Arabidopsis thaliana: one gene and its partner. The protein of the gene in region 1 interacts with the protein of each later gene in a pairwise test. Each region holds a gene or a part of one and is shown on either strand. Other genes may lie near its edges.

Region 1 (17,175 bases):
TGTACAAACAAAATTGAAGCTGACAATTACATGAAAACAAATAGATAAGATTAATGACCTGCGAGCCATGCTGATCACAGACAACTAATCTTGGGACAGGGAAACGTTCCCGGACTATCATCTGGGAATCCTCTTGAGGAGCTTGCAATAACTCAGCAAAAGCCTATCACAAAAAAAGTTATAGTCAATGGAAGATTATATGTAGATAATCATTCAACTACAATGAGATGGTTCCGCATCACGAAAACAGCTAGTTATTAGTACCTGGTGTTCAGGCTGATGATGATAACCCATATTTCGCCATTGTGCTATAGTCATTCCATGGAAGACAACAACGCTAAAATATGCATCTAATAAAAGAATTCGATCGGCTGCAATGGAAGCCACATCTAGCAAAGCTGGTTCAGCTGGTGAATTGAATGAATATGTTGTTAACGACGGTTGGATCATGACAGTTGCATTCGAAATATTCTCCCGGTTTAGTAACATGCAGAAATATGCGGTTTCATCAGGGCTATTGTTAAATACCTGCCACCATCACAACCCCGGAAAAAAAAAAAAACAGGATACTAAGCTAATGATATGATGAACACAAACCATGAAATGTAAAAGTAGTGGTACCTGAACAAACTGCGATCGCCGCAGATTAAATATAAATTGAGGAAATAACGAAAAATAGGGATTCAGCGTGAAGGAGGCTGGATCATCCTTTCTATAGTCTCCAAATTTTGAACAAAGACGAATGAGATTCCGATCTAACCAGCGAGTAGCATCAAATCCCTCCTGTGGATAAAATATGATGAATTGTATATATAGACATGACTTAGTGATAAACCCTAGTTAACTAGTCCCTGCAGTATTTTCCAAGACACAATTTGGATCCTCCAAGTTCATATGACTAATATACAGCTGTGTGAACAATAAACTTTGAATCTCTTCTGTATAAATAGATAAGCATTTGAAATCCTAGGGACTCCTGTTGAGTATTATTCCCAAGGAAAGACACATATTTGAAAACATTTCCAGCATTAAGAGCTTACTCCCTCCACAAGAATACAATATAGCAACTACCAAACTGAAGTTTTCTACTGTGACGTACCTCTGACTCCATTTTCAAAGAAGCTAATCTAGCCATGACCACAGCAGCAGTTTCTTGGTCAAAGCCTTGCACAAGTTCCTGAAAAGTAAATAACCACCAGTAATATAAAATGCTTAAAATCACTAAGAAGCTTTTAGGCTATAAGAATCCTGCATTGCATTTTTGATGGTTATAGCTAAATGAGGACGAACCTCTGAACTCACAGCACTGTCTATCCACTGTCTGCATACAGTAGTAACCCGGAGCAATGTTTGACCTTCAGGGTTTTGATAACTGCAATCAAATAAACAACAGTAAATATGATACTTCGGACTATGATGCCCACAATGTACTGCAGAAAGGCACAGTTCAGGTGAAACTAAAAAACAAATAAAATTCAAGACTGAAACACTGCCCAAAGTACCTTGTGAGAAACTGCAAATAAAACTGTGGATTCGCAGCTCCAGGAGTATTTGACCCGCTTGAAGATATGTCAAAAAATATCGTCAAACACGTAGTTTTATCAAGGCCACACAACCTCCAAGCAGAAGTATTCCCCTCTCCGATAACCGTGTCAGCAACACTAGCACCTTTCTGAAAGGATCAAAATAAAATAAAATTTAATTTGATTAAGAACAGATAGCTTTGTTCATCTCACAAATCACTATCAATGCATTTTTGAGAGAAGTGGATCTTCATGTTTAACCTTCTCTAATGATGAGCATGGCCCAATAGCCCCTTGAATTTTGATGTCCTGTGAACAACAGATCTCAAGCGTCCCACTAGAAATAAACGATTCAAGGTCAGTTTGATGTAAGCACATAATTTAAATTCTTAAATACAAGCTTGAAGTGTATGATGCTTCGAAGGAAAGGTTATCACATTGCCAAAATTTTCTTTACTATGTAATAGATTTATCAAAGAGAGTGATGCATAAACAAAGTAGAAACTTACTTAAAGCAGAGGCCAAGAGCCTGATCGCCATCTTCAAATACTCGCTTGAAGGAATCTTTGAAAACAGAATGGCCAAAACTTTCAGACAGAACAACAAGGCCACCAGTTCTTTCAACTGCAACTTTCATCTCAGCAACACCAACCTAACTATATCCAAAATGCAACAGCGGAAATAATTATAATTAGATATCCAATAATAGTTGACAGCACGACAAGCTACAACAAGCAATGCCTTATGTTGACTAAAGACAACTACTGGAAGAAACACTGTAGAGGAAAACATCATCAAAAACAGGAAAATGAAGGGGTTTAACGATTATGGCCTAGATTTCATAGACTATTTATCACAGGCTAGTTAACAAAATTGAGGACAAGTGGGAGGCTTCACATTTTTTTTGTTTATATTGACCAACAGTTTAGTAAATCCCATTGCATATCAAGGCCACACTTCAGAGACAACAATAAAAGATGCATTCATTTTATAGACAAAAAAGTACTACACAAAAGATTTAGAATCCAGGCGTTGCAACTAATGCAAATTGAACTGCACAACCAAACTTGAAGAACTAATTCAGAGCCTTGCGCACCAACGATTTATAATTACGTCGCAGTAATACCTGATCAAGTGCAGAAGCAAAAAGGTCTAGAACATGACCCTGAGTGACTAGTTGCTTTGCGATGCTATCATAAAACTTGACAGCCTTCTTATAGTACGGAGCGGCATCTTTATCTAAATCTTTGTGAGAACGCACAGGATCCGACAAATCCTTTGAGACAATCTGTACAAAAGAGATTACAAATATGCTTCATACACATGGTGTGATCAAAGCTCACAATGCCAACAATCATCAACATATACTTACCGTTCCAGGGCCTTCCGTACATGGACCTCCGATCAAAGCTACAATTCTAGCCCCAGTTCCAGGCAAGCAAGCTCCAAGCAATCCTGCAGCTACACTCAATGCCACGCCTGTACATCGTTGGGACCGATGACCTGGCTTAACAGGCCACTGATCACTTTGTAGCTCATCCAAAAGCTACATACCAAACATCATTCACACAAAGATAGAAGAATCAGATGAAAATTTTCCGACTTGACAATCAAAAGCAAAGTCACTCACCGAGTTGAGTGTGAATTCGCACTCGGAAGCAGGCAACAAGAATCTATTCAAACCAGAACTCGGGAAGCCATTTTGAGGTCCTTTAGAACCTCCTCTCCTAGAAGAACCACCAAGCCCCAACTGATCCAAAATCTGATCTTTCGAAATCTCTTTATCTCCTTTAAAAACAAAAACTTTAGACATCTCAGAGAATCCCAATTCATGTACATGAGCCTGAGTACCAAACGACACAAATCCAACCAAAGCATTCTCCGGAAGCAACCCAATCGCTTGTTTAAGCGCCGATTTAGCAAAATCCAATTCTTCTTCAATCATACAAGTATCAAGAACAAACACAAACACCGGCGGATCCACCAGACCTTCCCCGTTGGCTACAGGCGGAGGAAGAGTGTATTCAACAGTAGTGTACTGAGGATAAAGCTCACCAGGAAGATTAGTCTCAGAGATCACATGATAATGAGGCGGGAAATGATTACGCTGATAACAAAACGGACAGATCCAAAGCTTTGCGGTGAAATCGACTTGTGCGTAAGCGTTTAACGCAGCGGAACAAGTCCGGCATCGGAGCGGTGCGTAAGGAAGAGTAGGGATATCGGCATGTCGCCGGATCGGAGAAATGCAAGCGGCGAGTGGGATCACGCATTTGCTAGCTTCAGCTTTGGAATGAGGCCAGACGTTCCATGTCATACGAACTCCATCGATTCCTTCTAGATCTGTATTCGCAGTCTCCGCCATTCGTTGGAAGCTTTTAGATCAGATCAGAGAATTTGAGTTTTTTTTTTTTTTTTCCTTAATGAAGAAATTGAAAAATCTCAAAATTCTTTGGCGTTATTTTTTAGGAACTCTAACGTTGACTGAGTATCAAATATTTCTATTTTTGTGTGTCTATACTCATTTCATTTTAGTTAGGATCGAACTGAGATCGTAGAAATTGAAATGGTAAGTCTAATTACTGATTTGTATTCCTAAGCTCAAACTTGAGTTTTTTTTTTCTAAAATAATTTTTCAAAACTTTGCTCCCATGATCATCTTTAGCCAGTTTCACCAACTTATCTTCATCACACTTCACAATCTCCTTCGAGAAGATCCCCAAAGCCACCACCGACTTACCGTCACCGAGAAGCTTCTCCACAACGTTTCTCCCATGTTTATGATACGAAAGCTCGATGCAATGCCATTGAAGCATACATGCGATGGTGTCCGTAATACGCTCGTTGGACCAATGTGTTTCCCACTTCCCAGTGTTTCCTTTGAAAGGGAGAGAGATTTAGTTTTTGGATTTCATACTTCACTTGAGAATAAGGTCTTCTTTTCTTGAAAACTTGTATGAAATATAACACGATGAGATAACCGAATTTATCGGTTCTAATATCGGTGAGCCTTTGCTTAATTGCTTCCAAGAATGTTGTGTCGACTTCTTCTGATTTTCCTAGGATTATTTGAATCATGCATGAGTGAGCCTCGCATGGTTTTGGTAAAGTCGATAAAAAGATCAGAATCTGATGCCAACTTGGAGGCAATCCTATGGAGCTCTACTATGTTGGAACGCGAGAGAATGTCATCAAACTTAGCCATTATCTCGTGCAAGTGTGGTCATGTGTGATTTTTCGTGTAAAATCGAGCTTAAGCACATGTTGGATCAATGAACTTCCTAATAAGAGAGCGTTCTTTGCGATTAGGTCAAGGAAGTAACCTTTGAAGCGATCTTCAGCTATTGATATGACTCTTTTGAGTACACAGCAACCGAATACGTCACCCGCTAAGTCAAGGATTATTTGAATCATGAGCGAGCCTCGCATGATTTCAACATAATAACCATGATTTCAATACAATTATGAATTAAAGTGATATATTTTTGTAGTCTACAAAATTATGGTTATTATTGTAATACAACACAATAACCATGATTTGAATCGACTGTTTAAATTTGGAGTTTACCTTCATTGGGCTTCGTTTATAAGCCCAACCCAACACAATCTAAAACCTCACGTGCCACGTGGGATAAAAATATCCTAAGAATAAATAACTCAAACGGTCGAACAAAATCATGGGCCCTAATTTGATCTTATCCGTTAGATCTATCATCTCACGATCAACGGAGAATAGATGAATAAACATGTGAATGCGTTCTCGATCTAGAAATTCAAAATTCTCGCCATTAACGGCTCTCTCTCAAACTCTCAAACTCTCTCTCTCTCTTCCCTTCTTCTTCGTTACTTTGCCCGAAACACTGACTGTTGCAGAAGCAGATTTAATTCTTCTTTAGGGAATCTTCGAATTGGTTAGCGCAGAGAGATGAAGCATTTCATGATGCCAAGGAACGCTATCTTGCGTGATATCGGAGAGTCACAATCGCCAAACCCTAGCTTGACGAAATCGAAGTCACAAAGGAAGATTAAATCTTCTAAAGAGAATGCTCCACCTCCGGATCTGAACTCGTTGATTCCTGATCATAGATCTTCTCCGGCGAAATTGAAAAGTCCATTGCCTCCGCGTCCTCCGTCGTCTAATCCTCTTAAACGGAAGCTGATTGCGGAAGCTACGGCGGATAATGGAGTAGCGATTGGGGTTTCAGACTCTGGTGTCAAGGTAGTCTGAGCTTTTTATTTTTTGTTTTTCTTGCTCAGAAATTGGAGAATGTTCGAAGGAAAAATCCTAATGTCTTGGATTAATTGGTCTAATTAAGTTCCAGATTTCTATAAATTAACAAAATGAAGATGATTGCTTGTATTTTTAGAAGTTTATAGTTACTAAATTGAAGAGAAACTATATTATGTTTTCTGAGTAAAGTTTAAGCTAATCTCTAAGTCTTTGGGCATATGTAGGTTATAGTAAGAATGAAGCCTCCAAGCAAAGGTGAGGAAGAGGAGATGATAGTAAAAAAGATCTCCAACGACGCCCTCACTATTAATGAACAGACTTTCACATTCGATTCGATTGCTGACCCGGAGTCAACACAGGCAGGCATTTAGTTTTCATGATTGGGGTTTCACTATACAATGTTATCTTATGATTTATATAGGCTAACAAGTCTTTATCTTTTTTGTATTCTTTGCAGGATGAGATCTTTCAGCTTGTTGGAGCCCCTCTTGTTGAGAACTGTCTTGCTGGATTTAACAGTTCTGTTTTTGCCTATGGACAGGTAGTCATCATTTCTCAATCTGTTTCTACGGGATTGAATTTCAATTTCTCAAGATGATTGTAATTCTAACATTTGTTTTCACCAGACTGGCAGTGGGAAAACGTATACCATGTGGGGTCCTGCAAATGGATTGTTGGAAGAGCACCTTAGTGGTGACCAAAGAGGTTTGACTCCACGTGTCTTTGAATTGCTCTTCGCCCGTCTCAGTGAGGTGATGCTTCGTGTTGTTTCCTTTCAGTCTGTTTCATTATGTGAGAGAGGCAGAACATTCAAAAGTTGATTTTTTTTGTTTGCAGGAGCAAGCAAAGCATGCTGAAAGGCAGCTAAAGTACCAGTGCCGCTGTTCGTTTCTCGAGGTTTAATGAGTGGATTCAACTTTAGTTTTTGTGCTTATGATGTTTTCATTTATCAAAGCTTGATATACATGGTTCCCTTTCCCATCTTTTATTGCAGATATACAACGAGCAAATAACAGATCTTTTGGATCCGAGCCTAAAAAACCTGATGGTAAAAGGAACTTGCAATTTCAACTTGTTTTTACATTTTTTAAGGAAAAAGAACCTGGGTTCATCATTTTTAATTAATATTGCACCAGATTAGAGAAGATGTCAAGTCCGGTGTTTATGTTGAAAATCTGACTGAGGAATACGTGAAAAACTTGAAGGATTTGTCAAAGCTTCTGGTTAAGGTTTGTTATATCATTATATTTCATGCTTTTCTACTTTGACAGTAGAGTAATTGCTCAAACGTACGTACACTTGTGTTTCCATTGCATTTCTCCTTAACTTTTAAAAGATGGGTGCACAACTTTGGTTTGTTATAAGAAAAAGAGGTCACACTACAGGACTTGGTAATACTGTGTATTGGACTTAAAAGATCTTTATATCGCCAAAGAAGTGTCAAAGTCTTGCAATAGTCAATCTGAGCTATTTTGTTGCTTTGCTTTGACATGAGTATCTTCAATAGTAATGCTTACATCTGAAACTGGTGCAGGGATTGGCAAACAGAAGGACTGGTGCAACAAGTGTAAACGCAGAAAGTTCAAGGTCGCACTGTGTATTCACTTGTGTTGTCGAGTCCCACTGCAAGGTGGGTTGTTCTCCTTTATTTTATTGTGCCTATTTAACTGGCAACTGCAAGTTTTAAGAATAGGCTATGAGGCTCAGATGCTTACTAGTCTAGCAATTATTATGAGGTGATGTCAATCTATATCTGACTATATTTGAATGTAATATGTAACAGAGTGTTGCAGACGGTCTAAGCAGCTTCAAAACAAGTAGAATCAATCTTGTTGATCTGGCTGGTTCAGAAAGGCAAAAGTTAACCGGTGCAGCAGGCGATCGTTTGAAGGAAGCTGGGAATATAAATCGATCACTTTCCCAACTTGGGTAAGATCAGAATAGTCTACATATAGATAGGCTGCTTATTGATTTTCTTTTGTATAGCATGCATTTGAATCTGGATTTTCTGTGCCGGATGTTTTATCTTGACATTTTACAGATGTGATGCTATAGTCTGAAACTGAGAATCGTAGATAAATGTAAAACTTACAAGTGTTTTTACTTGCAGGAATTTGATCAACATTCTAGCAGAAATTTCACAAACAGGGAAGCAAAGGCATATACCCTACAGAGATTCCAGGTTGACATTTCTATTACAAGAGTCTCTAGGAGGGAATGCAAAATTAGCTATGGTTTGTGCAGTTTCTCCCTCGCAAAGGTAAACCGAGAACCCAAATTTCTCTTTCAGAAATTATTCCACCCTCCCTCCACTTTTCTGCAAAATGAAATTGCATCATAAATTGCAGTTGTAGGAGTGAAACCTTCAGCACCTTGAGATTTGCTCAGCGTGCTAAGGCGATACAGAATAAGGCAATTGTCAATGAAGTAATGCAAGATGATGTAAATTTCTTGCGGGAAGTGATACGCCAGCTGAGGGTATGCACTCTTTGGATTATCTCAGAAAATGTAAATACAAAGTTGAATATAATATCTAATGTAAACTGTGCAGGATGAACTGCAAAGGGTGAAGGATGATAAAGGAAACAACCCAACCAACCCAAATGCAGCTTATACCACTTCCTGGAATGCGCGTAGAAGTCTGAGTTTGTTAAGAAGCTTTGGCCTGGGTCATCCAAAGTCATTACCAAATGGAGATGATGATGGTGATACTGAGATGGAAATTGATGAGGAGGCTGTTGAAAGGCTTTGTGCTCAAATGGGCTTGTCTCCACCTGCCGAGGACAACAATCAGGAGATGAGCAGAGTAGAAAAAATAAATTCATCATTACAGACTGTGGTCCTGAAGGATGAATCTTACAATAACTCCCACCTTAAATCATCAGAAGCTACAGATGTTAACATGGAGGATGCGTGTTGCCAAACTGAGAACAATGGGTCAGAGACTGATAATGCGTTAACTGTGGCAGAAACTATGGATGATGGTTCTAGTGTACAGCCTGATTCCATAACAAATTCTCTTCATTCTTGTATTAGCGACACAAACCAGGGAAATTCACCAAGCAAGGCGGAGAACATTCCATCATGCCAAGACTTGGTTATAGAAGCTGATGTTTCTGCAATTGTATCAGTAGCTGATACATCAAATAATACAGAACAGGTCTCAGTAAATCCTGTGTCGCCTTGCCTTAGCGTCGCTCCAGTAAGTGTTTCTCCTGTACTAATACCTCCCACTGAGAGCGCCTCTCCTAAGATTAGAAATAGCAGGAAAAGCTTGAGAACAACATCAATGTCCACCGCATCACAAAAAGATATTGAGAGAGCCAACCAGTTAACTCCAGAAGTTGTGGAACCGTCGCCAGCTATGTCCACAGAGGTGTTAAACCTATATAGTGCTTTGTCTACAAAGAAAAGTGAAGCTTTTCCTGTGCCAACTAGGCAATTGGCAGCTAGCCTCCACAGAGGCATGAAACTTCTTGACTCATATCGCCAGAGTACAGCTCTTAGACGATCGACATTCAGATTGTCCTACAAAGCTCTAGAATGCAAACCCTCGACCGTTTTAAGTAAGGCTGATGTAGGTGTTCAAACTTATCCCCAAGCTGATGAAATAGCGGAAGACAACTCTAAAGAAGTACTGTGCAGTAGATGTAAATGCAGGGCAGAATGTGATGCCCAAGAAATAAGTGACACTTCTAATCTTCAGTTGGTACCTATTGACAATTCAGAAGGTTCAGAAAAGTCTAATTTCCAAGTTCCTAAAGTAAGAATTGTGGCTTTCTTTAGAGCATTTCGTTCCGCATTTGTATAGTGTAATAGTATGATATGATTTTTCTGCACCTTACAGGCAGTGGAAAAGGTTCTAGCAGGGTCAATCAGAAGAGAAATGGCTATGGAAGAGTTCTGCACTAAGCAAGCCTCTGAAATATCACAGCTTAATCGGCTGGTATGATTCTTGCTTATGTTCTGTTGGTCAGCTTCTCTACTTTTTACATATAAAGGAAACCTTTCTAATTATCTCTGGAAAATTAAACAGGTGCAACAGTACAAGCATGAGAGAGAGTGCAATGCTATCATAGGACAAACAAGGGAGGACAAGATTGTTCGCCTTGAAAGTCTCATGGATGGCGTGTTATCTAAAGATGATTTTCTGGATGAAGAATTTGCATCACTCATGCATGAGCATAAGGTAAATTTTTGGGTTACCATTATTTAGAAGTTTATTGAATCAATGCAGATATGTTTTCTTACATATAATTGTGCAGCTTCTGAAGGACATGTATGAGAACCACCCCGAAGTATTGCAGACGAGGATTGAGTTGAAACGAGTGCAAGAAGAGCTCGAAAGTTTCAAGAACTTCTATGGTGACATGGGAGAAAGGGAAGTATTATTAGAAGAGATTCACGATTTAAAGGCACAGCTACAATGTTACACTGACTCTTCTCTTACATCTGCTCGGAGAAGAGGTTCCTTGCTTAAGCTGACATACGCTTGTGATCCTAACCAAGCTCCACAACTTAATACCATTCCTGAGTCAGTGGACGAGGGTCCTGAGAAGACACTAGAACAGGAAAGACTTCGTTGGACTGAAGCAGAGAGCAACTGGATCTCTCTTGCTGAGGAATTAAGAACTGAGCTTGATACCAATAGATTGCTAATGGAAAAGCAGAAACGTGAATTGGATACAGAGAAAAGATGTGCTGAAGAGTTGACAGAAGCAATGCAAATGGCAATGCAGGGTCATGCACGGATGATTGAACAATATGCAGACCTGGAAGAGAAGCATATCCAATTGCTTGCAAGGCATAGGAGGATTCGAGAAGGAATAGATGATGTCAAAAAAGCAGCAGCAAGAGCCGGAGTCAAGGGAGCTGAGTCTAGATTCATAAACGCACTTGCAGCAGAAATTTCAGCTTTGAAGGTGCAAAGAGAGAAGGAGGTACGATACTTCAGGGATGAAAACAAGAGTCTCCAGTCACAACTAAGAGATACTGCTGAAGCTGTTCAAGCAGCAGGAGAGTTACTTGTTCGATTTAAAGAAGCTGAAGAAGGATTGACATTTGCACAGGTACTATTATAGTTATATTTCTAAAATCTCACCCATATCCTATCATGTGACTCTTACTTAAACTTTCTGGCTTGTGTATTCACAGAAACGAGCAATGGATGCAGAGTATGAAGCATCAGAAGCATATAAAAAGGTGGACAAGTTGAAGAGGAAATACGAAACCGAAATCAGCACTGTAAACCAACAACATAATGCAGAGCCACAAAATCCCATAGAATCTTTGCAAGCTTCTTGTAATGACGATGCTATGGCCAAATATGATGAACCATCAGCTAGTGATGGTGATAACCAATGGAGAGAAGAATTCCAACCATTTTACAAGAAAGACGAAGAGTTGTCAAAGCTCGCTGAACCCTCTTGGTTCTCGGGGTATGACCGATGCAACATATAATTTCGTTTCCACAACATTATTTTTCTGTAATGTGTAATAGGAAAAAAAAGACATGTTGGGGTCTGATCCGATTCTGTGAGATATATCTGAAGCTTGTACTCTTTTCATTGTATTTCTAATGTGTTACAATTAAACATTTTTTTGTACTCGTCCATCTCTCATCTGAAAGAGGTCTTTGTTTGATTCCCTGTAAGAGATTAGTAGAGATAAAGAATCTGGAAGATGTGTTTCTTATGTTATGTTGTACAAACTCATTTTACAGTTTGATTTGTTCTCAACGGCACAACTCTCCTCGATCGTCACCGTCAACATCATAATGAGTAAAACCTTCTCTGAACATTCTACGCAATCTATGCGAATAACTCGTTGGCATCAATGTGACTACTTGTACAATCAACTCTGTAAATCATATAACTATTGAACACTGTACATCATTTGTTGTACATATGAGAAAAGAAATAGATTTCATTGTTACTAATTTTTATTTTAAAACATCTTAGCAAATCTTCATCATGATGCACATTAAGCTGGAAAGAAAACAGGTTTATGAAAGAAGAGTAATAATGTTCAAAGAGAAGAATGAGTAAATGAAAGACATACATTAGGCATTGTAAATTGAGTCTTAATCATCTCGTTTTCTCCTTTTGCGTTACAAACTCACTTTACAATTCATACATAATTTGTATTTGTCCATCTCTCATTTCAAAGATGTCTTTATTAGATTCCTGTAAGAGACTTTGATTGATCACATAAATAGAGATAAGGAATCTGAAAGATGTATTTCTTATATTAAGTGCTACTAACTCATTTTACAGTTTGATTTGTTCTTAACGGCACAACTCCTCGCTTTACAGTTCATTCGTATGAAAATACTATAGACGAACTAGAGAATACGCATGATCCAATCATCGAATCACGGGATCTGAAGAAAGGACTTAAAGAGTAGAGTTTTGCTTAGAAAAAAGCCAAGACCAATACAAGCTAAGACTAAGGTCCCTTTATTTTTCCTTTCATTGTTCTGTTTCCTAGATTCTTCAAATATGTGACTACTTCTACAATCCATTCTATATTGAACTTCTGAATCCCTTAAGTGATCGCAGCCAATATATCATTTGTTGTACATATAAGAAACAGAAATAGATTTCTTTGTTACTATGTTTTGTCATTAAACATCTTAGCAAATCTTCTTCAAATTTTATGATAGTAGAGTAATCTTGTTCAAAGAAAAGAATAAGTAAATGAAAGACATTACATAAGGAATTATAAATTGGAGTCTTAATCATCTTGTTATCTCCTCATGCATGTTGCTCTCATGGATTCGTTTCAAGTAAGACAAGTCTCGACATGTTTTCATCATATCGAAGCTTCTCCAATTCGCTTTCTTCTTCCCTTTCCCCTCCTTCAGGTTGCTTGATTTGCACTAAACTTGGAACATAAGAGCACAGATCTGTCTTACATCTTTGGTCTCCATAATCTCCAACGAGATCCAATGCCCTCAAGTATCCAGCCTCTCCAATGATGTTAATTGTGTGGCGATTCCCATCTTCAAAACCAATGGCGACTTTCTTCTCCTCGTCAATGAAGAAACTTCCATTTATAATAGGAACATAACTATCAAATCCAGCTGTTTCCACTCTCAAGAACTTGCTCCACAACACCTCTCCAGTCTCAATCTTGGTCGTAATCGATAAGTCAAGCTCATATGGATTTGATTCATCGTGCTGAAGTAAAACCGCAAGCTTCTCTTCTCTAACACAAGATAACGTCATACAGTCAATATGCCCACCACTAAACGGCAGAGGCAGAAGAGGACCAAATCTCTCACTTGTAAAATCAAAACAGATTAAGCGATTAGCAAAGACTTCATTTACATCTACGTTCCTTTTTGCAGCACACCAGTACGTGCTTCCCTTAAGAGAACGCCACTGTTACAAAACGCTATACGCAATGTGGAGTGACATCAAGAGTAGTCCACAAATCAGAGTCAAAATCGTAGATTTCATACCAAAAGAATTGCTTCTCGTGTGCATTGTAGTAATAATCTATCAACCTCAACAACTTGTAGTTACGACAAGAATCCGTATTCACGTATCCAAGAGCGTAAGAGAACCTGCACATATTCACGTATACGATTAACTTGCAAAAAGTGGAACGATTTATCCAAAAGTCAGAGCTTTATGAAGATGCACATTGGTCAAGCCGCAGCAAAGGAAGGTGAGTCTCAGATGATCGTGATGATGGGTAACAATCTTTCTTTAACGAGTATTATTCTCAATGGAGATCCATCTATAGAGCATAAAGGAAAACTTCCTTGCCTTGACGAACAAGTCAAGATATCTCAGTTCTATCACTGCGAGGGCTTACTGCTATGCATTTTAAAAGATGATTCTAGGTTTGTGGTTTGTAATCCGTATTTGGAGCAAACAAGGTGGATCGAACCAAGATATTCCCATCGTCCACACGGATGGGATAGGTTCTCTTACGCTCTTGGATACGTGAATACGGATTCTTGTTGTTACTACAAGTTGTTGGGGTTGATAGATTATTACTACAATGCACACGAGAAGCAATTCTTTTGGTATGGAATCTACGATTTTGACTCTGATTTATGGACTACTCTTGATGTCACTCCGCATTGGCGTATAGCGTTTTGTAACCGTGGCGTTTCTCTTAAGGGAAGCACGTACTGGTGTGCTGCAGAAAGGAACGTAGATGTCGATGAAGTCTTGGCCGATCGCTTAATCTGTTTTGATTTTACAAGTGAGAGATTTGGTCCGCTTCTGCCTCTGCCGTTTAGTGGTGGGCATATTGACTGTATGACGTTATCTTGTGTTAGAGAAGAGAAGCTTGCGGTTTTACTTCAGCACGATGAATCAAATCCATATGAGCTTGACTTATGGATTACGACCAAGATTGAGACTGGAGAGGTTTTGTGGAGCAAGTTCTTGAGAGTGGCAACAGCTGGATTTAATAGTTATGTTCCTTTATAAGTGAAAGTTTCTTCATTGACGAGGAGAAGAAAGTCGCCTTTGGTTTTGATGGACGTAACCGCGAGAGAGTTATTGTCATTGGAGAGGCTGGATACTTGAGGGGATTGGATCTCGTTGGAGATTTTGGAGACCAAGAATGTAGGACTGATCTGTGCTCTTATGTTCCAAGTTTAGTACAAATCAAGCAACCTGAAGGAGGGGAATCGAAACAACAAAGCGATTTAGAAAAGTGTCGATATGATGAAAACATGTTGAGGCTTGTCTCACTCTAAGCGACAAATCAATGAGCTTTGATAGGAGGAAGGAAAAAGGAGCCAACGAGATGATATTACTCTATTATTACGCAGAAACAGAGCTTTTATTTCAAGTCTTGAGTTAATGAAACTGAAGATTAAGATCATGTTCATGGTTCATTCTTATCTTTCTTCATCGATAATGAGCTAGTCGCTCAATCTTTTTCTTCTGGAACTTAGCTTAGTGTACCTTAAAATGCAATATTAGAGTCTCATGAAGTCAATTGGGAACGTATACGAATCGAAAGAGAGAACTTCTGTAATCAACCACTCGTACTCTCAATCTTGTTTCGTAAGAAAATGTGAAAAGAATATAAAGAAGTGAACAAATTTATTCCTGTTTCTTACAAGCTTAGAGCAATCATAATACATAACGATTGTAAAACAGTACAGAGAAAAGTTCTTGTCATATTTTTACATACTTAATCTGAAGTTTTCTTGTTTTTTTTTTGTTTAAGGTTGAGAAGAAATCAACAGAGACACAAGCAAAGAAGCAACGATTGTAAACATTAAAATTCCAATATGATTCACTCCGTTACTCATCACTACTTGGTTTTCTGTATGTACAACAGAGATAATAATCATAGCTATGGACTATGGTTCAAGCTTCATCTGAAGCGTTGGCTCAGAACCTGCAACATAAAGATACGAGACTTTAACAACATAAGAGATAGTTCTATAATTTCGATAGACGAATTTGCTTCTAATTTTTCTTACAGTTGTTGTTGTTGTTGTTGCTCTGTTGCTGGAGGATATCTCCAAAACCCATCTGAACAATGCTTTGCAGGTCATTATTTTCCCAGAATCCTGGTGTCTATAATGAATCAAAAACATAAAAGGATCGAGTTTACGATACGCACAAACGAGTTTTTCTAGAATCTGACGTTAGCTACTACTAAAACTACCTCAGTGTGAACAAATCCATCGTTTGAGGGGAATTGTGTGTCTGAGAATCTTGGCATGTTCTTGCCAAGTGAATAGTATGCTGATGGAAGTCTTTGCTCTGAGCAAGCCATTGCGTAAAGAGACTGCGTTAACGACTCCCCCGGTTGAATCATCTACACATACAAATACACACATTATAGATACAAAACATTCCATAATCTGACCATTCCATTATAGATACAAAGCAGAATCTTACCTCTGTGGATAAAGAAGCATTAGCATTAAACTCCATCCTTGGATTTACGGTAGCCAGCTTCATGGACAAGAACTAAAGAAACAAACCACGAGTTTTAGATTCAAGATATACAAACTCCAACTTTCAAGAACATTTATGAAATACACAATTCATACCTCAACTTGTCTCTGCAAGGACTGCACATAATTTATAATTTCATCAAGCATGACTGCTTTCCCTGTAATCCGGTTGCAACCAGGAACCAGATCCTGAAGCAACGTCATTCTCTCACTAATCTTTTCTCTTCTTGCCTGAAACCAAAACACAGCCAAAAAAAACATCAACATCATAAACATCAAAACAGCCCCTAATCAACAAAAAAACAGATCAGTTTTAGAAGGTGTGTAGTACTCTTTCAGCAAGACTATGGCTATCAGTTGCTTGACCCCTTCTAGCTCTGACATGAATATAATCTTTAGGCGCCTCAGGAGGCTTAGCATCGTCCTTATTGTCGCCTTTACTATCGCACTTCTCTACTCCGTTTTTACTACTCCCAGCTACATCTTGCTTGCTTCTCTTCCCACCTTTAGATCCACCATTCTCTCCTGAAACCTAATCATATATCCAAAACCAAACACAACTAAAAAACCTTGTACACACACTAAAAGGTCTATAGATAAAAAGTCTCCACAAAACACAAACTTTCTTACACATATGGCTACAGTTTCCTAAAGTATACATTTTTGAAATAGAGCAAGAGAGATAATGAATCAAAACCTTTGAATTGGAAGCTGTAAGAGACGATGAAGCTGGAGACTCCTTGCCATTACCACTAGGAATCGACTTCCTCTTTCTAGAGTTAGATTTCGTGGTGTGAACTCGATCCGAAACTGAATCTGGATCCAACAAAGAGCTCTTGTTACTCTCCTGCGTTGTTGGTTGTGACCCAAATTCACGATCGGATCCAAATTGACCTGGATATGGAGGGAATCTGATTCCACCAGAGATTGGGAAATTCTCGGAGATCTGAGAATTCAGAGAGAAGGATTGTAGAGTTAACGGTGAAATCTCCTGAGGGTTGTTGCAGTATCTTCCAAGGAAATCTCCAATTGTTCCTTCATTGCCATTGCCAAAGGGATCGCTCTGACCCAAAGGTAAGTAATTTAGGGTTTGCTCTGTTTCCTTGTCCATGTTCATCTAAAAAGACTAGAACTTTTATGAACAAAAAAGTGAAAAATTCAATTCCAACAACTTCTCTGGGAATTCTGAAGAAAACCCAGAATCTGAATCAGAAAGCAAGATTGAAATTGAGTGAAAACAACCAAATTTGAGAAGTAAAAAGACAAACTTTATGTGTGTTTCTTCAAAAACAAAACAAGTGATGATTTTTTAACTTCAATGTAAGCAAAAAAAGAGCTTCTTTCAATTATGGGTTTAGTGGAGAAGAAGATCTAATGAGGGAAATGAGTCAGGAAGAGAGAACTAGAAATGAAGAAGCATGATTGATCAATTAGGGGAAAGAGGAAAGAGAAGAAGAAGGCGGTGACTTTTTTTACTG
Region 2 (14,025 bases), on another chromosome or scaffold:
ATTTGTGTATATTCCGTTGTTTTAGTGAATCTAAATATACTTTGTAATGCAATGCAATTTGTTTAAAGAAAAGTAATTTGATCTGGTTTACTGCGGTTTAGATCGTTGGCCCATTTTCTTAAAGACTTTCAACGTAAATAACAATACTACCATGTAAACATACGATGTCTTACCACAATAAATTTACAGGGAAGTAAGTTTTCTTAAGACTCACCACTGACTTTGGCGACAATAACTGAAGCATAGTGAGCAATGTTAGCCTCAGGGGATTGTTTAAGCCTTGCAATGACCGGGAACAACTCTGATGACTTCACAAACTGTCTGCAAATCTGGTGGTTCGAACACATTTTAGCCAATGAGAAGAGTGCAATCTTGAGCGGTGACTCACTCGCTGTCTCTTTCTTGCTTGGGTTCAAGGCAAGAGTCGAGCAATCCGCAACTAGCCTCAGTAACGTCTGCACACAAAATCCCAACATCATACGTGAAATTAGATACGAGAAAAATCCATGTATCTTGACCTAACAAAATAATCTGCAGTTGTACTAACTTGTAAAGCTCCCTTGGAGACTATATCTTCACAGAGTTTGTTGGAGTTTCGGACAAGGTTGCTCAATGCACCAGCCGCGTTTGCTTTTGTCTTGTCTTCTTCAGCCGTGGTCAAAACGTTTGCTAGCTGCGTTATAGATCTTCTTAGCTCTTCATACAGCGTGTCGTTATGGTAAGCCGCATTTCCAATCTGCAAAAAGAAAGAAAAATGCAAAAGGCCTCTTTTAAAATTTGATCAGAAGTATCATGGAAGTGGAGAATAAAAAACTGTTTTTTGATGATTTTACAGCAAAACAAGCGAATTTCTGTGTTCGTTTGTCCGGATCAGCGCATCGATCAATGAGGAGACCGATGATTTGATGTTCCGCCTGCACATAGTAACCACGCAGACCATGTAAGAAAGAACAGTCTGTTATGAAAAGTTTGACCTCTCATAGTAAAAGAAGCTTAGTGCTGTAACTTACAAGAGCGCTGTAGAAATATCCATTGTGTCTGCACATATTGCCAAGAGCACTACAAGCTTTTGCACGTATATTTGGATCCACATGGGTAAGATATTCTTTCAAAGGCTGTAAAACAGAAGCCTCGCCGATGTATTTATAAAAAGCCTGTACGGTTAACAATTGTTCCAAATTAGATAACATCATTTACTTCACTGTACTGTGTCTAAGCATAGGTAACAAAAAGAATGCATCGTACGTAATTATAAAACGCTTACCTTATCCATCCTCGATAGATCAGATATGATCATCAAAATATCAAGTATGACTTCTCTTGGACTTGATTGGTTGAGTAATTTTTTCATTCTATTAGGATCTAACAGACCTTTGCTCACGAGATCTACAGCAAGACGTGGACGACCCACCATTTTGGCAAGAAAAGCAACGGGCCTTACTAAATCTTTTAATTCCAAATGATCCAAGCAACGTAGGATTAAACTCGGCACTCCCACCTGAAAAAAAAATTTAAAAAATACAGCTTGTAACAATAACGAGATTTCAGCTCATGAATCATGAGAGGAAAACAAATAGATACCAATCAACATTCAAACAAAAGTATGTAAAAATCAAGGAAACAGAATCGACGAACTAACCTCCAGGAGGACTATTATGTATTTGTCCATATCCTCTTCTATAGCTTTTAGCAAATCTCTATCTTCCATGCATACTCTCACACCAGGAGAGCCAATGTTGAGAATGAATCCACTATTTACAGAAGCTGTGGCAGATAACGAACCTGGTTGACTTTGCAGAGCAACAAAAGGAAATGCTAGGAGATCAATTATCACATTTATTGTCTCTCTGACCCCATCTTTTCCTCCCCCCGGACCTCCCCAGCTCTTTACTAGCTTGATATGAGCATCAGATAGTAAACAAGTAATTAGCTTCATGGTTTCGATTTTCACAAGAACCTGACGGAAAGTTGTGCCACCCGAAAGACAGTGGCATATGGACGAAATAGTCCATACAACGCCAATAGGGGACAAGCCAATCCGGTTGGATGTCTTCTTGATGTCCTCTGGGGAAGCATTTGAAAGTTTGCCAGCTAACAGATTTATGAGAAGCAATGGCGTACCACTAGCAATAAGCTGCTGCACAGCTAGAGGTCCACCCCACTTCAATCTGGATTCTAATAAACCGATACATCCATCCAGAAGTCCGTGCCATTTGGCATAATTGGCAGAATGAGAGATGACTTCACCTTCATTACTTGGCATAGGCCTAAGATGATAACAAAGCTTAGTAGCTCGAGGAATCAGAGACACCACTAGCTCAGAGACAGAAGATCCAGCAGAAGATCCTTTTTCAAGAGCGAGAATAGATGCGAGAGCAAGCATAGCTGAAGCAGAGTGATTCTGAAGAGAAGCTTCGATTTTATCATCTGAGGCAATGTGATTGGCTATAGCAGAAAGACGATGTTGATGCTTCTTTGGAGAAGTTGTAAGCATTAACAGAACAGAATTTCTCCCAGTTAACTTCAAACATTGAGCAACTGTTGCCAACATAAGGCATGAATGGAACACCAGATTGTTTAGTCTGCCCTCGAAGTTATCTTTTTCTCCTGTTTGCTGGTCTTTGCTTGATAATGTTGCGTATGATAGTATAGAAAATATTTCTGAAATAACTGTACCATCCTCTCCACCACTGACTACGGTCGTAATAGGCAGTGAACTGGGAAGACCACAAAGCATGCTAGGCAGAATTCCATTATGAAGGCAGCATCTTGACAAGAGCTGGAGCATTACATAAGTAGTTTCCAGTTAAGTTTAAAGAGCGGAAAAAAAAAAACACAAATTCAATTATAGCTGTGAATCCAGAGACAACCCACAAATTTTTTGTTAAGATAGCCACAAAAGAAGAGAAGCATCACATAATCACCTGAATTGCAGAAACCAATGGAGCCTCCACTCGTTGGTGAAGGCAATGACCAACAGCAACTTGCACATGCTTTGATCGGAGATATGCTCTTGTCACTGTATCGACAAGTTTCTCAGATAACGGACCCCACTCACTGTTTCCTATGTCATGCTGAGAGAGACGGTTCTGCAAGGCATCTAGAGGTAATATGTTTACATCATCGTTCTTGAAGAATGTTTCGGAAGTATCTATGAGAATCCATATTGCTCGACAAGCTTCACAGGCAGCTGCTAACATTTGCGAAGAGCCGGAAGTTAAACTCGACCCAGAAGAAGCCAGACAAAGACACAAATGATCAACTATGCGAGACATGTTAGCATGCTCCAAAATCTGTTTAGAAACAGAATCAGGAGTTGAAGATTTAAGATCTTGGGCAACTCGAGATAACATTGTTGTGATGCAAGAACAGGCCTCATATATAATTCTACCAGTTCCCTCTTCTTCCCATCTAACGACCTACATCCACATAAAGTAAAAAATTAGTACATGTGGTTTAATCTCACAAGAGACTTATGCGCCAAAAAAGTCACCTGTATGAAGATTTCCACTACTTTGGTCCAGTGCCTGATGTAAGAACTATGTATGTTATTGCCTTCAACATGCCCTACCAAGTTTTTAGTGACTGAAAGACTCTGATAAAGAAATAAGTCGGTGTTACAAATCATTGAACTTTCTTTACTTGTTAATTGTGGAAAGCAGGCTGACTATCAAATAAAGTAGGTATCTAATCCAACACATGACAGACATTTTGGTCAAGAGGATTCACCTTTGGTATTATGTTGTTGAACTCGGGTGATTTCATCCCAACAAGAGCGTCAGTAAAGTCTAGCAGTGCACATGTTATTTTCTCAATCAGTCCAACTGAAACTATGGCACGAGTTGCAACCAAATTGGAGATGATCCTGAGGGACTGAACAGAGCAAGCAACATCTTTGTCCCTGCACACCCATGAACGAAAATATGAATATGCATGTATGCGGAAATATACAACAATTTACTGGAAGAGAGTAATAGATCATAAAACCAGAAAGTTGCAACCGTGTTTTAGAGTCTATCTTATGTAAGAAACCTATTTCTGTTCCCGTTTGTATGATCAAGTAGGAGCACAACATTATATAATAAAAGAACTCCAAATTTTACCTTTTAGAATCTGGCGATTTTGAAAATCTTTCCAGTGACAGCAAAACAAGGTCCAATGCTTTATCATTTTCACCTATAACTTGTGCACCTTTAACAGTGCGGGATGTATTTTCCAATTTGTCCAGTGTTGGGTTACCTGAAACGGGGAAAACAACCCAAGCATGAATGAGAATGATATATAGGTCCATTATGAAAGAAAGCAAAAGAAACTCCGAAGGCAGCTAAGGTTCAATCACGGATAGCAAAATGTATGTGAATATTCCGACACTAATCTTTTAAGACATGAAAATTTACAAAAGGAGAACTGGGTTTATATATGAAATATACAAAACCTGAAGTTCAAAAAAAAAAAAATCCTTATGTCATAGGAGTTGTGTTAATCTAAACAAACATCAAGCATAGCATGACAGCGTAGTAAAACTCAAGCTCTAAGAGTTGTAAACCTAGAACAATAGAGCATACTAACTACACGCTTTGATGAAGGAGAAAAATGCATTTGGTCATAACCAACAATGAAAGGATGATATCCGAATATATGTCTGTTAGATTGATATGGAAATCATCATCAGAAATATATCTAAACATGCATTTCTCAAATTACTGTATCTATCTGTTGGATAACTCTTTTGATTCTCAAAGTCCCACTACCTGAACTTTTTATCTCCTCTTGGGTTGGGAATCCCACAAAATCCTCAGTGGGTGGAGAATTTACTTTGACAGCACTCTTCATATCTGACTGAACGTCAGCTAGACCTTTTGTAGCAGACATGTCCTCAACCAGGGTCACTGAGTCGCACTTTTCTGTGACATTTAACACTATAAATTTAATAAAGGAGAAAATTAATTAAGAAATAGATTCTAACCACACACTGAAGAGATTCAAACCATTTCTCTGTTGCCCTCCATTTCCTTTGAGCATCCAAGCTGCCTTATTGTCAACTACTGCAGTATGGATTTCCTGAATAGGCGTTCAAAATGTTCTTAGTGATCTATTATTCCAACAACATGTTTTAATTTGAGATCCGTTACATTGCATGAAAAAGACAGTTTTAACAAAATGCTCTGTACATTGGACTCAAGCTGCAAAGTATAAGTCATCAATATCAGACCATTACCCTGGCTTCAACTTCTTCTTGTGTTTCTTTAACGAAAGGGTGCTCACGAAGAGCAGGCCAGGTTAATCGACTGTGGGGTTCCTGTTTCGCATAGTAATAGAAAAACAGTTTAACCCAGTCCAGCAATGGTCTCAAACATATCAATAAATGGTAAAAAGGACAACTTAAAGAAAAAATAAATATATCACCTTGTTGAGCAATCCTTTCAAAAAGCTTTCGAAATAAGTACTCATTTCATCAGGATATTTGACAGGATCCTTGAAGATTCACTAAAACGTTAGCTCATACTTTAAGCATAGACTATGGAAAAATAAAAAAATATTGATATACCTTAACAATGTGACGAATGAGAGCATACACAGAATTGGTGTAGAAGGGAGGCTGACCTACATATAACTCGTACCTGATGTATTACAAGAGATTAATTAGAACCATATCAAGTGCATTGAAATGTGGATAACATAAAGAATACAGAAAACAAAAAACTATGAAAGAAAAGCCATCAGAATCATCACATTTATAGATGTAATAGCTTTCATAACAATAACAATTGAAGTACGACAACTCAGATGAGTTTCTCCACCTACAATATAACACCAAGAGACCACAGGTCGACAGTGCGATCGTATGGCTGTTCTTTCACAAGCTCTGGTGCCATGTACAGCGGAGTGCCTGATGTGATATTTTGGATTAATAACAAGGAGAGACTTATTGATTTATTCACTCATTAATACGTCTAAGGAAATTAAAGATCTTTAACCTTTAATGGATCGCAAAACCACAGTGTTGGTGGACATAGCTCGAGCAAAACCAAAATCACATAGCTGAAAAATCAAAGGGGAGACAAGTTAGTTGATGGCAAAGAGAAGTTAAAGAAATCATATAATCAAGCCGCATTGAAAATACTTATGTTTCTACTTATATTTAGCTAAGTGTATGAGATTCCTGGCTAGCCGTATCCTCTTCTAGTACTCACATGATTAACTTAGTTTTCTGAAATAATCATAGACGGAAAGATCCATGGTTCATAAATCAATTTTCAAGAAGTTAGCACGTAATCTGGTACTCATAAGAAGAGGAAAAAAGTAGAAGAATCGTATTGTAACGATAATTCTCTCCTAAATTTTATCTTTAAGAAACAAGAATATGAACAACTCATGTGTGTGGGAAGCATAGAAACAGCATTTCAAACTTAATTACTGGAAGCAGCAAAAGGAATGTTATATTACCTTAACGACAGAGCCAGCACCAATAAGAATGTTTTGTGGCTTCATGTCACGGTGAATTATACGGTTGGAATGCAAGTAATCTAATGCTTTTACCTGGATTTTAAAGAAGTTTCAAAATTGTCTTAATAATCAGATATAGAAATAAGAGCCATGTTGGCAAAACGTGTTACCAATTGCTTTGCGATTGCTTGAACTTGCTCTTCGGGAAGGCACTTGTCATCTTCAAGAATCTCAAACAATTCACCCTGTAAAATTGGGTGTTCCATGGTGATTCTTTATTTCATATAAGTCTAGCTATATGCTTCATAAATCAGTACTTTAGATTCTACAATCTACAGTGAGAAAAGTACTTGGGCAAACTCAGTGACGACACAGAACTCTCGTGCGTTTTCAAAGGAGTCGAGCATTTCAATGATATTCTCATGCTTGAGCTTCCGCAATATCTGAGGCATAAAAGAAATAATGTTGGTCAAATACCATAAAATTGATTGGGATTAAAGTTGATGGTAAGTGCAATTAAGGACTGAAACTTGCTAACCTCGATTTCTTGCCTTAGACTATGTATATCCTTGTCAGTCTTTCCTTGTTTCATGATGAACTTCATCGCCACCGTCTGATAAAAATTACCAAATTAAGAATTGATTAGCTGATTTTAAGTAGCCGATGATAACAAAGAGAACAACCCAGCAACAATTTACCTGGCCGGTATACTTGCGTCTTCCTTTGTAAACCCTCCCAAAAGATCCTTCACCGACAAGCTCTATCACATGATAATCCTCGACACCCATATCTGAACACGATTGGCTTTTTTTATCTGTCAAATAAAGCACCGTTTTAGCTTCAAACGGTAAAATGACGGTACCCAGACCCAAATAAGCAGAATTGAGGGAGAGTCTACTATATTCAGTCTAATTCGATTAAAAGCTAGTTTCTAAACTAGGGTTCCGTTCCGATTTCTTGTTTAGCATAAGCAAAAAGTAGCGAATCGAAAAACTGGAAACATCCAAATTAAGCTTGAAATGCAGATCCTAAACCTGATTGGCGAGTAAACGGGGAAATCGAAGATTTGAGATAGTAAAGAAGAATATTGAACCGTGGCTCACGAAAATGCGTAAAATAGGCGAAGTGGTGGCTGCCGGAGATGGTAGAACTGGGAAGTCGGCGACGAGAAACAGCGGAGGAGGTCTTCGGCGGTGAAACTAGGAGAGATCCGTTGGATCGATGGTTGAAGAGAGAGATAAACTCTGCGTTTGGATATTCTCGGAAACTTTTGAAATTCAAAAAGAGGGAAAAATCTTTGAGTCAGAGTAGTGTGTACTCTCTCTCTCTCTCTCTCAAACCTTATAAAAAAGTAAAAACAAACCACAAGTCGTAATTTCCGGTTTATTTTAAAAACAAAAGAACTCAAAAATATAAATTATTTATCATTTTCCAAATTGGTTCCTAAAATATTATTTTGATTATAAATAAAATATTGTTTCCACTGTTCCACATAAATCACCGATTATTATTCATAACATTAAAAAAAAACTTATAACTAATATTATAATAATTAACGTCAATTTCAAATTATGAAACAAACTATATATTTTCTAATCGTTTCAAAGTGACACCTAGCAATATCTATACAAACGTTTTAAGAAATGATACTAACAAAAAGAAATGATGTTAAGTGGGTGATTGGTTCGTCGGTATGTAGTTATAGATTTATTACTATAAAATTTTTGATGTAGGTGTGATGACTGTAGTCGTAGGGTTTATTGTTGTAAAAATTAGGATGTATATTTTATTGATATAATATAATTATTTAAATAAATTAGTTGTAGAAATAAGATTTTGATAGTATGTATTTTAAATAAAAAAATATTATTGGTAAATTATACTTTATATAATATTATTCCCAATTATCAATGTGAGTTATATATGTCATAAAGTAGGTATTTACCTACTATTTATATCCATATAACTAAATTTAATATATATATATATATAAAATATAGTAATATTTTTAAAGAAAATAAAAAAATAAAGTGAAAAAAAAAATAAAAAAAATATAGACCTTCTAAAAATCTTAAAGTTATGCTGTAGAAAAACTTGCACTTACAGCCAAAATAATTAAAATATATATATAAATATATAGTATTTGGGGTGTGAGAAAAAAATAGGAAAGTTAAAACATGATTGTTTCAATATTGATTGTAGGTTTTTTAGTGGCTTTATAAATCTTTTACATCCCAACCAATCATGTTCTAAGATTGAATTATAGTGTCATTTGAAAAAATGATACTAAATATTTTTTACCTTCACTAGTTTTAGTATCTCTTTTTAAAATGACTCTATAATTCGAGCATCATTTTAAAAATGATATTAAGATTTTTTTTTAAACTGATGTTAAACTCATCAATTTTGTAGTGATATCATTAAGAAATCTTAAGCAAAAGGAAATGGTTTCAAATTCACAATAAAATAAGCAAATTTATATATCTTTAAAAGATGACGAAACGTTAACGTCCATCAACCGAACAGTTAATTTATGTTTGCTACTATTCGTTTATTTAATTTAATTTAAATTTTAATTAAATTTATTATTTATTTCTTATTTACGATTAATTAAAAATGACTAATATGATAATAATTTATGGATACGGTAGTTTATACATTTACCCGTGCATGATATATATCAAACGATTGTAAAACTTCCCAACCGCCAAAATCATACTTGCTTGCACACGAAAGCATATTGCAGACGTCTTCTCTGCTATATGCGTCCGCGTTTGCTTTAGGCTTGAAGAAGAAATGCAAAGCACGTGCATGTAAACCCCCACCTCCAAGTAAAATTTTTAATTTGTTTCGGTTACTGTTTCTCTCAAAGATGTAACACCTAAATTGATTCAACAAGGGTTTTAATAGGTTTGATCCGATGTTTAATGTTTTTAAAGTCTCTGTTCGAGATTCTTCTTTTGGTGAGAAAGTGGCTACACTTTGGATTGATATAATAAAGATGAGCATATATAGCCTCCAAAATTTTGTAGGCATTTCAGAAATTTTTCGGATCATAGGAGGAACATGTATGTACCTTTTAAGTCTCATCATTAATAATTCTGTGTTTCATATTTTTACTGTGAAAATGAGAATGACTAACGATTTTATTTATCTGATTTTGGCATTAATTAACTTATTCAAATTGCTTTTCAGTTTTCATTGTGACATTAGTTCTTTATGATCTTATCATATGTTTTTTTTTTCTTTGTTCAGGACCAAACCATTACGTGATAATGAAGATAAAGCATTGGGACCGGTGGCTAGCATCTTTAAAAGACGACGATTACCTCAAGAATATTGAAGCTATCAAACTTTATCTAGCCGTCATGTCAATATATGTAAGTTCATTATATATAACTTGTCATAGAAATGGCGTAACAAAAGTTCCGGAAATCACTGTTTATTTGTTTGTTTGCAGGAGCCGGATTTGTTGGATGAATATATGATTGATGATGATTTCCATCCCATGATCTCTCGTCTCAAAAATGTAACTTTAGATGTAACCTCGGCTAGGTTTAAGGAACTATACATTACTGAGAGGTAAGAAATTCTCAGCTTATTATATTCTCGATTCGCTAGAACAATTCAGGATTTAACTTAGCCTCGAGTGAATATTAGGCAATCCGTTTGATTACCATCTGATTTCAGGATTTAACTTAGTCTCGAGTGAATAGCAGAGAAGACTTCTTCAATCGAACATTAGGCAATCCGTTTGACGAACATTAGATTATATGATTTTTGACTTTTTCGCTTGTAATTTGATTTACTAGTTCCTTATAATTAAGAAAACACTTATGGTGGCTTCTAAGGAATTAGTGTTATGTGTTTTAGCCAATTAGAACTAAAAACCATAATTTACATAAACTTTTAATGAAACTAAGAGATTTTGCATGGCCAGTAGTACAACTTCCAAGGATCTGGTGGTAGTTACCTCTTAAAAGAAACTTCTACTCTTTCTGCCATATGACTGCGAGATGTATCAATGTACTCAATGTTCTTCTCCGAAGTTAAGAAGTTAATGATTCGATGGATCCGATAGATTTACCCAAATCTTTTCCAAAATTATTGTAATCTTGTTTTTACCTTTTTTTTGTCAAGATTACATTTGTTTTAGGTACTCCAATATGTAAGTCCGAACTTTCATTTATATGAATATTAACATTTTAGCAAAAAATGTTAAGAAAATCTGAGCTTCATTTTGATGCCTTGAATCAATAACTTTCTTTCCAAGTTACAATGCCCTCTTGCCATTTTCCGTTTCGGGAGTATTAAGGAAATTATTAAACAATCTCCTTTTTTCCGATAAGAAAAATTTCTATTTTGTTAACGGAAGAATTGGAGTCCTTTTCTCTTGTATTTTCCTTTCTTCTTGGGTTAAGCCTCCTATAAATATGTTTACATCTAAGAACACGAAATATAAACAAATTTTCTTTCTACTTGCAAAAGATCTAGGGTTAAAATTTTAGCAAGATGAATTATGCTAGAGATGAACTAGACGGGGCTATGATCATATCAAAGACTCTAACAAAGAGTGACATTGTTGGTAATGTGGCATTACCAAAAGCGCAAGTGATGTCTGTCCTCACGAGGATGAATGGTGTCACAGATGAGGGTTTGGACAACGGTTTTGAAGTGCAAGTCCACGACATAATGGAAGACGATCTGTACACAGTTACCCTGAAAAGAATTGACGACATGAAGTATTATTTCGGGACTGGTTGGAGTACTATGAAGCATTCATTAGATCTCGTAGAAGGCGATGTTCAGAAGCTCTATTGGGATCAGTTTGAAAACAAATTCATTGTTCTCAATTTTCAGCATAAGACTATGGGAATAATGATTCCTGTGTAGCTTGCTTACATCTATCTTCCTATATTTAGTTGCTTTAATTACTTATGTTTTCGTTTTCATATTTTAATTAAGTGTTGGTTTTTTGTTTGACCTAATTTTTATGTTGTAGTTGTTAAATCTAATTTAATTGAAATATCTTGAATTTCAAGAGAGCAAGCTGCATAGCTGTTTCTTTTGTTATATTTCTTGTCATCTCTTATAATTACAAAAAAAAAAAAGTAACATTGAATCGAGTAAAATATATCACAATCTCAAAAACATTGAATCGAGTAAAATATACACTGAATCTCAAAAATATATAGGATTGAAACCTTTTTCTTCTTAGATCACACAATACGAGTAATCATGAAAGCACCAACGTTAGTGTGAGAGGGAAATAAGTTTTGACTGATCGAGTTGTTGGTTCTACACATGTGACTTGTGTAGGGAATTACGGTAATTCAATTACCAGAATTTTTTCATTGGTAGAAAGCTTTTGATGCGTTGGTGTGTTGAATATGGCGTTTTGATAGAAATAGAACTTTATTTCCTCTCTTTCTTCTCTCTCAGGTTTATACTTATTGGTTCAGATAGACCAGAGGAAAGGTTTTGCTTAACACACAAGAAAACCTATGTCAGAGAATTCCAAGCATCTTTCTCCCCCAGATATCATGCACAATGAGGCATATATTCCTTTTCAAGAGCCGCAACTCCTCTCCAAGCTGTACATGTTCGTCCCGCAAGTTGAGTATTCTCTGATTCTCATCATTGTAGCTGAGATTCAGAAAATCTCTTACCAAACATGTCTCCGTCTACAGTCTTGAGAAACATATCCCAAGCAAACCTATCGAAAATGACACCTTACTTTTTGGTGATGGAAAATCTGTTTGGCGAAAATATAAATCATTCATCAACTTGGACGTTATCTTCACGGAACTTCCTGCTTAACTCGGAGCTTGAATTATTCATCCATTCAAATCGTTGCATGTTTTATTGTATCAATTGATGGTGTTTTTTAAAGTTCTTTTTAATTTGTTTGATGAGAACATAACAGATTATTTGTTTAGTTTATATAGAGGTGAGTATTTAGAATTCTTTTTCTTTTAGGATTAATAATTAATTGTAAAATTAATTCTTTATTGTATTTTATATAATAAAATGGTATATTTTTTAAATCCATTATTCATATTCTAGTTTAAGTGTTCGGTTTTTTCTTTCTATTACCCTAATTTCTGTTGTAGTTTTTATTTAATTGGAATACCTTGAATTTCAAGAAAGCATGCATAGAATGTTTTTGTTTTTTTTTGCTTGTGTCGTCTCTTACTATTGCAACATATGCAATTAGCATGTTCTTACTTCCATTGCTACTAACTCCATTTGAAACATATGATTTGATGTTCTCATATACTCTTTGCCACTCGTTCCATGTACTTATCATTGCCAGAAATCCTCCAAGAACTGTTATAGCTAGAGGTAAACCTCCACACCTTACAATTATCTGCTTCCCAATCTCCTCCATTTTCTTAACCAACATTGGCTCTGCATATCAGGTGAATAAGTGTGTCAAGTATGATAGTATATATGCTGCAGAAAGATTAGAGCCTAATGATTACCTATATTTTCTCTTCCAGATAATGAAATTTTCTCCAACAGCTCCCAACTCTCTTCACATGTTAGCTTCAATTGTTGCTCATGAAGCACACCCCTGGGATCAGCATATAAAGCGACCAATGCTGCATATTGAGGTTAGCTTCTCTTTTGTTCTCAAGTTTGTCACCATTGTAAATGAGCAGCTGGAAAAGAAACAACTCTTAAGGGATATGCGGTACGCAGTTGCTGCAACTAGGGAGTTACTTCCGTCGTTGATGAACGACTACTAGTTTTCTGTGTCCAAATACTTTTCTGAATCAGTTCATCCGAGATCTTTTTTCCTTCTGTAAAAATAATAATATTTTTTCTTCTTTTTTTGCAGATTTCTTCTTATATCACAAGTATTCTCTATGGCTAGTCTCTTATTATATGCATCTATTTTGTCTACTGAAGACATAACTTGCAACATTTCTTGGAGTTTTTGGTCTTGATCAAGTATGTTTTTTCTGCCTCTCTGTGATTGAAACTGTGTTCTTTGAAAACTGGACTCAGATTGATTTTAGATGTGAATGACTCTAATCGAATTAGTACTGGTTCTTGTTGATGTATCTGACTTTCATTTTTAACTTTTTATTTCTTACAGGTTCATCCAGTTATCATCTGTAGCTGGATATGTGAAGTGTCTTCTTGCGAACTTATGTCTTAACTTTGAAATACTTTGAATAACGATGATAATTTGGAGTAATGATGGTAATTTGATCAAATTGTGTTTGGCTTTTTGGTGTGTCCATTTGCAGAGATATATTGCTTTTTAATAACGAGAAAAATGTTATTTAATACCCTAATTTTCAAATTATAACCGTTTTATACGTCAACTTTATATATGGTCATTTTAAACATGATGTTATCGTTGACCACCATTTAAACCATGAATATTTCGTTGACCAGGCCAAAAAAAATAGTCGTTAACGGATTATTCAACTCCCGTTAACACCTCCGTTAACCATTCTAAACGATGTCGTTTTCGTTACTATAAATCATGTTTTACCCTTTTATAAGCTTTTAAAATCCCTTGTAAATCATTCCAATGCCACTTACTTATGCTTAAAAAAACAT

What was found.
Region 2: the proteins of KINESIN-12B (region 1) and FU interact in a two-hybrid assay, tested with the Arabidopsis thaliana proteins (one study listed by BioGRID).

What each region holds. Positions count from the first base shown.
Region 1 is NC_003074.8:8,513,842-8,531,016, forward strand, and holds KINESIN-12B (phragmoplast-associated kinesin-related protein), read left to right. Parts: upstream 1-5,294; 5' UTR 5,295-5,448; coding exon 5,449-5,742; intron 5,743-5,978; coding exon 5,979-6,113; intron 6,114-6,211; coding exon 6,212-6,295; intron 6,296-6,380; coding exon 6,381-6,506; intron 6,507-6,591; coding exon 6,592-6,651; intron 6,652-6,748; coding exon 6,749-6,802; intron 6,803-6,890; coding exon 6,891-6,983; intron 6,984-7,288; coding exon 7,289-7,384; intron 7,385-7,537; coding exon 7,538-7,683; intron 7,684-7,864; coding exon 7,865-8,014; intron 8,015-8,102; coding exon 8,103-8,232; intron 8,233-8,305; coding exon 8,306-9,517; intron 9,518-9,601; coding exon 9,602-9,700; intron 9,701-9,790; coding exon 9,791-9,943; intron 9,944-10,019; coding exon 10,020-10,823; intron 10,824-10,908; coding exon 10,909-11,214; 3' UTR 11,215-11,448; downstream 11,449-17,175. Other genes in the region: AT3G23660 (Sec23/Sec24 protein transport family protein), read right to left, coding at 59-163, 265-528, 622-783, 927-976, 1,072-1,177, 1,291-1,372, 1,503-1,672, 1,785-1,860 and 4 more; AT3G23680 (F-box associated ubiquitination effector family protein), read right to left, coding at 12,525-13,119, 13,220-13,332; AT3G23685 (F-box associated ubiquitination effector family protein), read left to right, coding at 13,398-14,141, 14,228-14,476; AT3G23690 (basic helix-loop-helix (bHLH) DNA-binding superfamily protein), read right to left, coding at 15,092-15,129, 15,215-15,311, 15,403-15,555, 15,639-15,710, 15,794-15,928, 16,029-16,229, 16,395-16,814. UniProt on the Arabidopsis thaliana protein: Plus-end directed kinesin-like motor enzyme that plays a critical role in the organization of phragmoplast microtubules during cytokinesis.
Region 2 is NC_003070.9:18,600,273-18,614,297, reverse strand, and holds the start of FU (kinase family with ARM repeat domain-containing protein), read right to left. Parts: upstream 7,788-14,025; 5' UTR 7,482-7,787; intron 7,262-7,481; 5' UTR 7,236-7,261; coding exon 7,146-7,235; intron 7,061-7,145; coding exon 6,986-7,060; intron 6,891-6,985; coding exon 6,798-6,890; intron 6,693-6,797; coding exon 6,618-6,692; intron 6,541-6,617; coding exon 6,448-6,540; intron 6,043-6,447; coding exon 5,979-6,042; intron 5,891-5,978; coding exon 5,806-5,890; intron 5,622-5,805; coding exon 5,549-5,621; intron 5,476-5,548; coding exon 5,407-5,475; intron 5,300-5,406; coding exon 5,219-5,299; intron 5,062-5,218; coding exon 4,989-5,061; intron 4,905-4,988; coding exon 4,752-4,904; intron 4,240-4,751; coding exon 4,104-4,239; intron 3,902-4,103; coding exon 3,730-3,901; intron 3,596-3,729; coding exon 3,494-3,595; intron 3,420-3,493; coding exon 2,925-3,419; intron 2,780-2,924; coding exon 1,640-2,779; intron 1,499-1,639; coding exon 1,265-1,498; intron 1,155-1,264; and 8 more. Other genes in the region: AT1G50220 (B3 domain protein), read left to right, coding at 9,723-9,827, 9,908-10,029, 10,956-11,340. UniProt on the Arabidopsis thaliana protein: Plays a role in conventional modes of cytokinesis in meristems and during male gametogenesis but also acts in nonconventional modes of cytokinesis (cellularization) during female gametogenesis.